3 linked regions of the Ovis aries genome follow. The protein of the gene in region 1 interacts with the protein of each later gene in a biochemical or structural test. Links are inferred from orthologs where the notes say so. Each region holds a gene or a part of one and is shown in the gene's direction. Other genes may lie near its edges. The genes, in order: GIPC1, RGS19 and LRP2.

Region 1 (2,776 bases):
GGAAAGGGGGTGGGGCAGCCCCACCCTTCTGCTGGGAGAGGGTGTTGGCTCTCTGCCCAGCTCAGGTGGAGGATGGAGGCAAGGAGGAAGTTGCCCCCACACCCAGCTTCCAGGAGCCATTAGCCTAGCCAAGCGCCCCCAACCTGGCCAACCCCCTAGCCCCAAGAAGCCAGGCTTGGCTGCCCTGTGCCAGGCCCCCTACTTTTTTGTCCAGCTTCATTAACTCTCCGGAATGGGCTCAAGGTCCCTGGCGTGGGGGAGGGGGACTCTAAAACACTTCCCCAGGCAGATAGGGTTGGTCTAAAACACTTCCCCAGGCAGATAGGGTTGGTCTGCTGCCCAGCAGCTAAACCCCCTTGGCCTTGGGGAAAGTAGATAGAGACCCAGGACCCATCCCCTTCCTGTCCCTCCGGCCCTGGGAACAGGAGTGGTCCCCTCCAGCCTCCCAGCCCTTTTCCAATCCTAGCCCCTGGCTGTGCCTCCTACACCCCGCCAAGCCAGAGTCAGGAGACCTGCCCTCCTGGGGTCACCTCCACCCCCAGTGCCCCCAAAGCCTACAGAAGCTTGGAGAAGGTGGAGGGTGGGCTGAGGCCGGGATGTCTGGGTTTCTGCCCAGAACATGCTGGAACTGGGCTTCTCCAGTCCTCACCCCATCCCCCTATCTCCCACAGACATGATCAGCGTGCGTTCAGGGGGTGGCCGCCCTGGCTCCGGTCCCCAGCTGGGTACTGGCCGAGGGACCCTCCGGCTCCGATCCCGGGGTCCAGCCACAGTAGAGGATCTGGTGAGTGTGCCAGCCGAGCCTAAGTCCCTCCCCGCTCCACCCCCCACCACCACTTTCCTGTGAAATTCATAGGTGGCAGCATCACTCTTAGCTGAGGGCCTCTGGGCACTGGATGTCCATCCACCTCTGCCACCTCCCAGCTCTGGGACCTTCCTTAGGCAAGTGGACCTCAGTTTCCTAATCTGTGAAACTTTTGGGGTTGTCATGAGGAAGAACCGTGGGTTTCTATACCAAAAGTGGTGTAAAAAAAAATTTGCACTCAGCGTTCAGTATAATTACAGGTATATTCACATTATTATAATGTCGTCTTCCCTCTTTCCGCCCCCAGCCTTCAGCCTTTGAGGAGAAGGCCATTGAGAAGGTGGATGACCTGTTAGAGAGTTACATGGGCATCAGGGACACAGAGTTGGGTAAGTGAGGAGGGGGTCATCAGGGTCTGGGGATGGGTGGGAGTGTGGGAGAAAGGGGCTTGCAGGTCCTGGGGGGCCAAGTCTACCCTGAGCCCCTCTGTCATCTGTGCCTCCATTCTGCTCCCCTGTCCTTCCCCCTCCAGCGGCCACCATGGTGGAGCTCGGAAAGGACAAAAGGAACCCGGATGAGCTGGCTGAGGCCCTGGATGAACGGCTGGGTGACTTCGCCTTCCCGGATGAGTTTGTCTTTGACGTCTGGGGTGCCATCGGGGACGCCAAGGTTGGCCGCTACTAGGCCTTCCGCTGGACCTCGAGATGACTTGGGCCAGGCCCGGTGGGAGCCTCTGGGGCGGAGACACCGTAGCCTGGACCCCAGTGTCTGGCTCTGGCCCAGCTCAGTAGCCTGGAGATGATGCGGAGCGGAGGTGGGGCTGGGCCTCTGCCCCTCCTCCAATCGGTACCACCCCCTCGCCAGTTCCCAGCCTGGCTGGGGCGCCCAGCCCCCCACCCCCGCCCTCCTCCCCACCTACCTCAGCCAGGGTCAGGCACAGCGGTGGAGAGGGACCAGCCAGATTGGGTGGCCACCCCCACCTCCCTGCCCCCAATACTTTCCGCCTCAGCTGCCAAACTGGTCCCTCCTATCTCCCTGGGGCCTCGGGTTCTGTTTGGGGGTCGTGACCTCCCTAGTTTCCTGATGCAGGGAATGCAGGAGGGGGGTGTGTCCCCCCCCTCAGCAAATGCAATAATGCCCTCCTCTTCCACCACCCCCCCCCCATCTCCCCAGAGGAGCCCCCTCACTGTGGAGTCTGTTACCTCCGCATTTGAAACACTAGTCTGCTGTGAAACCCCCCCAAACTCCCTCCCTCCCCAGCCCCGCTCGTGTCTCCCTCAGCTCAGCCCCAGACTGAAGGGGCAGGAGGGAGGGATGATGGTGGTGGGCTTTTGTACCTGAATTTGCTGTCTGGAACATAAAGAATCTATCTGCTGTTGGATCTGTGTGTTGGCTTCGGGGTGGGAGAGGAGGGTGGGTCAGGGCTGGGAAAGAATGTAGCAGCTGAAATCCATCCTCTTCGGGCTCCAAATTGAATTAAGAGCTGGCCCCAGCCACCCGCCCCCTCCCACCCGGTCCGCCTGATGAGGCTCTTGGCTGCAAGCCACCAGGCTTCCAGGCAAGGCCGGAGCTTCTTCGTCTACTCAGGGTGCAAATCTTGCTCCCTTTCGAACAAAGCTTCCCGCCACCCTCTGGCCTGATGTGAACAGTGGGCAAGAGGCAGTGGGCCCTTGTCTGTTCTGACCCAGTGGCCCGGAGAGCCCCCAGGCCAGAAAGTGAAAGCGTTACTCGCTCAGTCCTGTCTGACTCGTTGCGACCCCGTGGACTGTATATCCTGCCAGGCTCTTCTGCCCATGGAATTCCCCAGGCAGGGATACTGGAGTGGGTTGCCGACCCAGGGATCGAACCCCAGTCTTCTGCATTGTAGGCAGATTCTTTGCTGTCTGGGCCAGAAGGCATGGAGAAAGAAAGATGGGGTGGGCTTCAGATGGGGTCTCAGCCTGCCCCAGTCAGTGCTGATAGGGAGGAACC
Region 2 (3,786 bases), on another chromosome or scaffold:
ACCAAGAAAGAGGAACCCCTGCTTCCGGCTTCCCAGGGAGGGAGCAGATGGGGGTGTCCCAGAACCTCCTGTGGAGAGCTTGTCTGGGGTCTCCTCCTTCCTGATCCCCATCCCCTCACATCTTCTGTGTAGACTAGAGTGGGGGTTGGGCCTGGGCAGAGTAGTCTAGAGGTGGGAGGTGGGAGGCGGAGGAGAGTCCGTGGAGGTGGGAGGCCAGGGAGGCAGGTAGGGAGAGACTCAGAATGCCTGGCAGGGTGCCGGCCAGGGCGGGTGTAAGGTTCTCAGTGAGAACCCCGGCCTCTCTTCTCAGACCCCCAGGCTGTGGTGACAGAAACAGGTGTCCTGGAATAGGCACCACGGAGCCCTGGCAACCTCCTCCACCCATCCATGCCCACCCCACCTGAGGCTGAGAAGCAGGTGGGCTGCCTCCACCCTGGCCGCTGCCCCTTGGGGGGTGGGGGGCTAAGGGCATGACTAGGAGTTCAGAGACCCATGGACATCTGGGAGGCCACAAGGGTCATAGCCCTGGGAGGGAGCATGGCCTCCGGTGGGCAGTTGGGGCTGGAAAGCGGGTGGTAACCATGGGCTTTGCCTGGAGGCTGAGGCAGCCCTGTCTTCCCCCAGCAAACAGGGCCAGAGGAGGCGGACCAGCCCCCCTCGATGTCCAGTCATGATGCGGCCCCCTCGGCTCCCCCCAGGCGAAACCCCTGCTGCTTGTGCTGGTGCTGTTGTTGCAGCTGCTCTTGGTACGTGGGCCTGGGGATGCTTGATATGCCTGGTGGGGAGTGGACACTGAGCAGACCTAGGATCCAGGACCCTGGTCCTTAGCCCTTAGGAGGCTTTTGAGGCATCACCTCCAAGTAGGGTACCCCTGCCACCCACAGTACTTATCCAGGGGCTTGGTGACTAGTGGTCAGTGCAGGTGGTATCCACATACAGGCACCTGGCGTGCAAGCATGTGTGTGTGTGTGTATCTACTGTAAGCTAGCTGTGTATGTGTGTCTACTTAAACTAGGGGTGTGTGTGTGTCTACTGCAACATGCAGGCACCTAGCGTGCACATGTGTGTGCATCTCTGCTGTAAGCTAGGGTGGTGTGTATGTCTGTCTTGTCTCTGTAAGCTCGCCCAGACTGGCCCTGGGAACTAAAACAGAACAAGACAAAAGCAGGTCCTACAGACAGCATCAGGTGGAGGGGCTTTGAGCAGAGACCTGGCCCTGGGACAGTTGGTGGGTGGGGGAAGGCACTGGGCCTCGGGGGGTGAACTAGTTTCTAGGCACATAGGGAACCTGTTGGCGGTTTTGTACATTGCAGAGGCATATGGCCCTTTGCAGGTTCTCAGTCCTTGGCTGTTGAGTAGACAGCGCTGAGGGGACCCAAGTGGGGATCAGCTGACCAGTGAACAACTGAGACCTGAGCCCAGGCCTGAAACAGAGAAACTGCCTGGGGTTAGGGATGGGAGGCCATGAACTGTTAGGACCCGCTTAGCCTTTGCCTGTAGGGACCAGGAGAGGAGTTCGCATCTAAAAGGTGGGGTAAGGAGGGAACTGAGTTCTGCCCAAACCCTGAGTCTCAGATGTCCTTAACCGTGTCAGTGACCCTGGTGAGAGGTCTGGCTGGAGGTGTGGACTTGGAAGCCATCACCGATGCTGCGCCCAGAGCTAAGGAGGGAAGCAGATCCCCTGGGGAGAGTCAGGGGTCAGACACACAGGCTGGGCCTTCACCACATCAGTGGGGTCTGTAGGAAAAAGCAGCGAGGGTCTAGGTCAGGCCAGGGAGGGAGGGAGGCAGACACCTGGGGCCTGTGAAGCCCTGAAGGCAAGAAGATGTCCCAGGGCAGGACCAAAGGCTGGGAAAGCGGACCCACCTGCGACGGGTTCATCCGTGTGTTGAGAACCTCGAGGCCTCCTGCCCGTTCTAACACCTGTGTGCGGAGTGTCCTGCATGCATACGTGTGCCTGGAGGGCAGTGCCACCTTCCCCTCTGCCCGCAGGAACGAAGAACGTCGGCGGGCCTGGCGAGCCTCCCGGGAGAGCAGGCTACAGCCCCTCCCCAGTTGCGAAGTCTGGTGAGTCTGGCCCGGGGGTTCTGCGCGGGTGGGGGCGGAGCCTGACGCAGCCGGCTGATGCCCAAATGCCCCCCGCAGCGCCACGCCGACGCCGACCCCGGAAGAGGTGCGGAGCTGGGCGCAGTCCTTCGACAAGCTGATGCACAGCCCAGCGGGTCGCAGTGTATTCCGGGAGTTCCTGCGCACGGAGTACAGCGAGGAGAACATGCTCTTCTGGCTAGCCTGCGAGGAACTCAAGGCCGAGGCCAACCAGCATGTGGTGGACGAGAAGGCCCGGCTCATCTACGAGGACTACGTGTCCATCCTGTCCCCCAAGGAGGTGTGCCGCGCCGGGCCCAGGGTGGGAGGGTGGGGGCGCTTCCACGCCCCTGACCGTGGCCCCTGTCCCGCAGGTGAGCCTGGACTCCCGGGTGCGGGAGGGCATCAACAAGAAGATGCAGGAGCCGTCGGCGCACACGTTCGATGACGCACAGCTGCAGATTTACACGCTGATGCACCGAGACTCCTACCCCCGCTTCCTCAGCTCCCCCGCCTACCGCACCCTGCTGCTCCAGGGGGCCTCCCAGTCCTCCAGTGAGGCCTAGGCTGCCCACGTGGCTGCCCAGATGTGGGACGCCTCCCGCGGCAGAGACTCCTTTCAGGAGAGAGCTTCAGCAGGTGTCAGGCACACCCACCGGGCCCAGCACCCAGGGGTGGTCCCAGGCAAGAGTGGCAGGTGCAGCGCCAGAGGCCCCTTCCCCACCCGGGGGACGCAGTGTTCCAGGGTCCTGCTGAGAGGCAGGCGTGAGTGCCTCTGGGCCCAGGCGACCTTTCTTGAATCAACCACCCCCCCGCCTCTGGCCACGGAGCCCTCCTGCTCGGGTTCGCACGTGGGGAAAGGAGGTACCCTCCCTGGAAGCATCCTGGAGCCACAAATCTCACAGGGTCCCTGGGAAACCCTTTCGTGGAGAGCAGACCTTCTGTTTAGTTCTGTGATACAAGGAGACCTCTGCCTGGTGCCGTATGCACCCCAGGATTAGACTGAGGACCTCAGAACTAGGCTCAAGGCAGCAGGACCTGATTTCTCTTTTATATGATCATTGAGTTTAAACCAGGAAATATGGCACTGTGTGTCTTATCAAAAAAAGAAAATGTTTTCATATTTAACTCTGCTCCTCTTACTCCCAAAATAGAATCTTATTGAAGATATTTTTAAAGGAAAAGTCTTTCCTCTCTGAGAGGATGAGGAGTTGTCTGGGACCCCCAGCAGGGGAGCAGCCCTGCCCAGTGCAGGGACCAGGTGCTCAGCCCTCCCCATTTGAGGGCCTGTGATCAGGCAAGTGCAGCCCCCAAGGCACCTTGCCATCAAAGCTGGCAACACAAGAGGTACTGGCCAGGTCCTCCGCAGGCAGGGTCCCTGGCAGGTATCAAAGATTGTCTCCAGAGGCTGGGCCAGCTGGGGCAGGACACTGACAAGGTGACCTCTCTGAGAACCTGGGTGCCATGCAGTGGCACCTATACTGTGTCAGAGGCCTCACAAGGCACAGGCTTGCCACTCTGATCCCTCAATTTCCAGTTGGTAAAGCAACTCAGAGCTGCACCGGGACCCAGGACCGTCATCAGGGGTCCACCCCCATCCACACTGCCTCCACAAGCAGTGGGGCAGGGGCATCCTGAAGGGTTGCAGGCAAACACAGCTGTGGGCCCAGATTTCACCTCCCTGCATGATCCCTGGACCCT
Region 3 (3,649 bases), on another chromosome or scaffold:
TGAGCACCAGAATTGCACCAGGAGATCCTGCTTTGGAACAGAGTTCGTCTGTAACAATGGCTTGTGTATCCCCAACCACTTCAGGTGAATTGGGGATTAAAAAACTTATTAACAAACCTTAAATGTCCATGAGGCAGGGCTGGGGCCCATGATACTTTTCATGGCCTCTGAAAATGTTTGGACTTCTTTTAAAATCAAAAGAAAAAAAATAAAGAGAACTTCAAAGAAAATATTTACATACTAAATAATAATATATATGGCTTTATACCAACGTAGTCCTTAAATATAATTTTAAATATTTTTATGGAGGAAGGGGCCCATGAAAACAGAAGTGCCTGGGGTCCATGAAGGTCATAACGTGACCTTGCACAGAAGATCAGAGAGATGAGTGAAGTGGGCTTAGTAGAAGAAAATTCTTTCTTGAGGCAGCTGACGCTCAGGGTTTGCCACCTGGAATAGAGGCATGGGCGTAAGAAATACTTCATTCAATTCTTTCTGCTATAAGAAAAGTACCAGTGAGCAGGATGATAAATGGGGCTGCATGCTGTGGCTCAGGGTCAGCCTGACAACAGAGAGAGGCAGGTGAGGTACACTGTGGGTGTGTGCTCCAGCTAAGAGACACAGACACCAGTCAGCATCATGTGTTTGGAGAGAAACTGGGGATCTGGATTTTCACCTGAAATATTCTGATTTTAAGTGGTACTGGGTCTCATGACACAGGTGTGACCGGAACAATGACTGTGGTGACTACAGTGATGAGAGGGGCTGTGTGTACCCTACCTGCGGCGAGACCCTTTTTACGTGTCAGAACGGACTCTGCATTAATAAGGCCTATGTCTGTGATGGGGACAATGACTGTAGAGATAACTCTGATGAGCTGGAGCACCTCTGTCACACCCCAGAGACCACATGTCCCCCTCATCAGTTCAGGTGTGACAATGGGAACTGCATTGAGATGGTGAAAGTCTGTAACCACTTCCCTGACTGCTTAGACAGCAGTGATGAGAAAGGATGTGGTGAGTATAATGGAAAATTAGGGAAAAGGAAATGGGGGGACTGAACGTGGATTCTCAACCCTTTCTGACTTAGTAGGACCTTTCAGTTGGTTCTCTAAGTAGCACACTGCCAGAAAATTACTGCTGTTTGTCTATGAAGAAGCAAGGATTTCTTGGTCTATAAGGTCGGTCACACACATTTTTCGACTAATCATCAGTTAGTCATTCATTGTAGAGAATAGGAGATAAACAAATTAAGGCCATCTATCTAAGAGCAGACAGTGGTGATCATGCAATGACTTGTTGCTTTAACTGCCCCTCCTACATTCCTTAATCTGTTCTTAATTTTCATCCTGAGGTGACTAAAGGGGAAGGTTTAACTGGAAGTCCCCCTCCCACCGTGCCCCTAACCCCACCCTGGTTGTACTAGTTGTTAAAACTATTGGTGAAGGATCCAGGAAGGAAGTTGAGTAAGAGTGACTTTTGAATAATGTAGGGCCTTTAGAAATCCCTTTTTATGTCCCTGTTTATTTGTCTTTTTTAGCATGATTCATTAAGAACTTCAGTTCAGTTCAGTTCAGTTGCTCAGTCGTGTCCGACTCTTTGCGACCCCATGAATCGCAGCACACCAGGCCTCCCTGGCCATCACCAACTCCCAGAGTTCACTCAGACTCACGTCCATCGAGTCCGTGATGCCATCCAGCCATCTCATCCTCTGTCGTCCCCTTCTCCTCCTGCCCCCAATCTCTCCCAGCATCAGAGTGTTTTCCAATGAGTCAACTCTTCGCCTGAGGTGGCCACAGTACTGGAGTTTCAGCTTTAGCATCATCCTTCCAAAGAAATCCCAGGGCTGATCTCCTTCAGAATGGACTGGTTGGATCTCCTTGCAGTCCAAGGGACTCTCAAGAGTCTTCTCTTAACACCACAGTTCGAACGCATCAATTCTTCAGCACTCAGCCTTCTTCACAGTCCAACTCTCACATCCAACATGACCACAGGAAAAACCAACCATAGCCTTGACTAGACGGACCTTTGTTGGCAAAGTAATGTCTCTGCTTTTGAATATGCTATCTAGGTTGGTCATAACTTTTCTTCCAAGGAGTAAGCATCTTTTAATTTCATGGGTGCAGTCACCATCTACAGTGATTTTGGAGCCCAAAAATAGTCTGACACTGTTTCCCCATCTATTTGCCATGAAGTGATGGGACCAGATGCCATGATCTTCGTTTTCTGAATGTTGAGCTTTAGGCCAACTTTTTCACTCTCCACTTTCACTTTCACCAAGAGGCTTTTTAGTTCCTCTTCACTTTCTGCCATAAGGGTGGTGTCATCTGCATATGTGAGGTTATTGATATTTCTCCGAGCAATCTTGATTCCAGCTTGTGCTTCTTCCAGTCCACCGTTTCTCATGATGTACTCTGCATAGAAGTTAAATAAGCAGAGTGACAATATACAGCCTTGACCTACTCCTTTTCCTGTTTGGAACCAGTCTGTTGTTCCATGTCCAGTTCTAACTGTTGCTTAAGAACTTGGCTCGGTCCAAACCCAACCAAAAAAAAGAACTGCATCTGTCCAGCGGGAAGGCTGACTTTTTTGACCATTATGGTGGGTCCATTACTGACAACTTAGGTTCTCTGATAACTGTCTTTTACCTTACAGGCATTAATGAGTGCAATGACCCTACGCTCAGTGGTTGTAACCAAAACTGCACAGACACCTTAACCAGTTTCTATTGTTCTTGTAACCCTGGTTACAAGCTGTTGTCTGACAAGAGGACTTGTGTTGATATTGATGAATGCAAGGAGACGCCCTTCATCTGTAGCCAAAAGTGTGAGAACTTACCTGGCACTTACATCTGCAAATGTGCCCCAGGCTACATCCGTGAGCCAGATGGAAAGACCTGTCGGCAGAACAGCAACATCGAGCCTGATCTCATTTTTAGCAACCGTTACTATTTGAGAAATCTAACTATCTATGACAATTTATACTCCCTCATCTTGCAAGGATTGGGTAATGTTGTGGCATTGGATTTTGACCGAGTAGAAAAGAGATTGTACTGGCTTGATATAGAGAATAAAGTCATTGAGAGAATGTTTGTGAATAAGACAAACAGGGAGACAGTCCTAAAGCACAATCTACCAGGTGCGGAAAGTCTGGCTGTCGACTGGGTTACCAGGTAAGAAAAAAGCTATTTAAAAGTTAACAAGTTTTTGTTTCTGAAAAAGTGTTCTAGCCAGGCTTTCATCTTAATAGGGAATTGATCTTTCCCACTTGGGTTGCCAGGTAGAAACACTTTAATGCTTCGGCATGGTTTGTTTTTGTTGTTGCTGTTTTCTGGTGTGTACCTAATAATCAAATGGGATACCACAAAATCTAAAATCTAGTGACTTTTAAGAATTTATGGTATGAATTTTATGGGGGGGCACATCACAAAGGAAGAAAGAGCTCTGTTATTACTGGAGGTATGTGAAGGGATGATTCATGCTTTGGTTGGTTCAGTCATTTAAAGCTGTTGCCTAAGTGCGATGCTATTCTAGGGACTGGGGTTTGGAGGTAAACAAGACAGACACAGCCCCTGCTTTCCTGGAATTCACAGGCTACTTAACAATGCTAGTCATTCCCAACTTAGGCTGGTTATAAATTAAAGAATGGCT

The links.
Region 2: the proteins of GIPC1 (region 1) and RGS19 form a complex in vitro, tested with the Homo sapiens proteins (2 studies listed by BioGRID). The link is inferred for Ovis aries from reciprocal best matches to the Homo sapiens genes GIPC1 and RGS19.
Region 3: the proteins of GIPC1 (region 1) and LRP2 form a complex in vitro, tested with the Homo sapiens proteins (2 studies listed by BioGRID). The link is inferred for Ovis aries from reciprocal best matches to the Homo sapiens genes GIPC1 and LRP2.

The regions. Positions count from the first base shown.
Region 1 is NC_056058.1:9,615,420-9,618,195, forward strand, and holds the end of GIPC1 (PDZ domain-containing protein GIPC1), read left to right. Parts: intron 1-671; coding exon 672-784; intron 785-1,112; coding exon 1,113-1,194; intron 1,195-1,337; coding exon 1,338-1,489; 3' UTR 1,490-2,186; downstream 2,187-2,776. UniProt on the Homo sapiens protein: May be involved in G protein-linked signaling.
Region 2 is NC_056066.1:53,500,180-53,503,965, forward strand, and holds the end of RGS19 (regulator of G-protein signaling 19), read left to right. Parts: intron 1-310; 5' UTR 311-387; coding exon 388-417; intron 418-624; coding exon 625-746; intron 747-1,992; coding exon 1,993-2,067; intron 2,068-2,145; coding exon 2,146-2,386; intron 2,387-2,459; coding exon 2,460-2,651; 3' UTR 2,652-3,255; downstream 3,256-3,786. UniProt on the Homo sapiens protein: Inhibits signal transduction by increasing the GTPase activity of G protein alpha subunits thereby driving them into their inactive GDP-bound form. Binds to G-alpha subfamily 1 members, with the order G(i)a3 > G(i)a1 > G(o)a >> G(z)a/G(i)a2.
Region 3 is NC_056055.1:140,232,244-140,235,892, forward strand, and holds part of LRP2 (low-density lipoprotein receptor-related protein 2), read left to right. Parts: coding exon 1-84; intron 85-720; coding exon 721-1,016; intron 1,017-2,654; coding exon 2,655-3,171; intron 3,172-3,649. UniProt on the Homo sapiens protein: Multiligand endocytic receptor. Acts together with CUBN to mediate endocytosis of high-density lipoproteins. Mediates receptor-mediated uptake of polybasic drugs such as aprotinin, aminoglycosides and polymyxin B.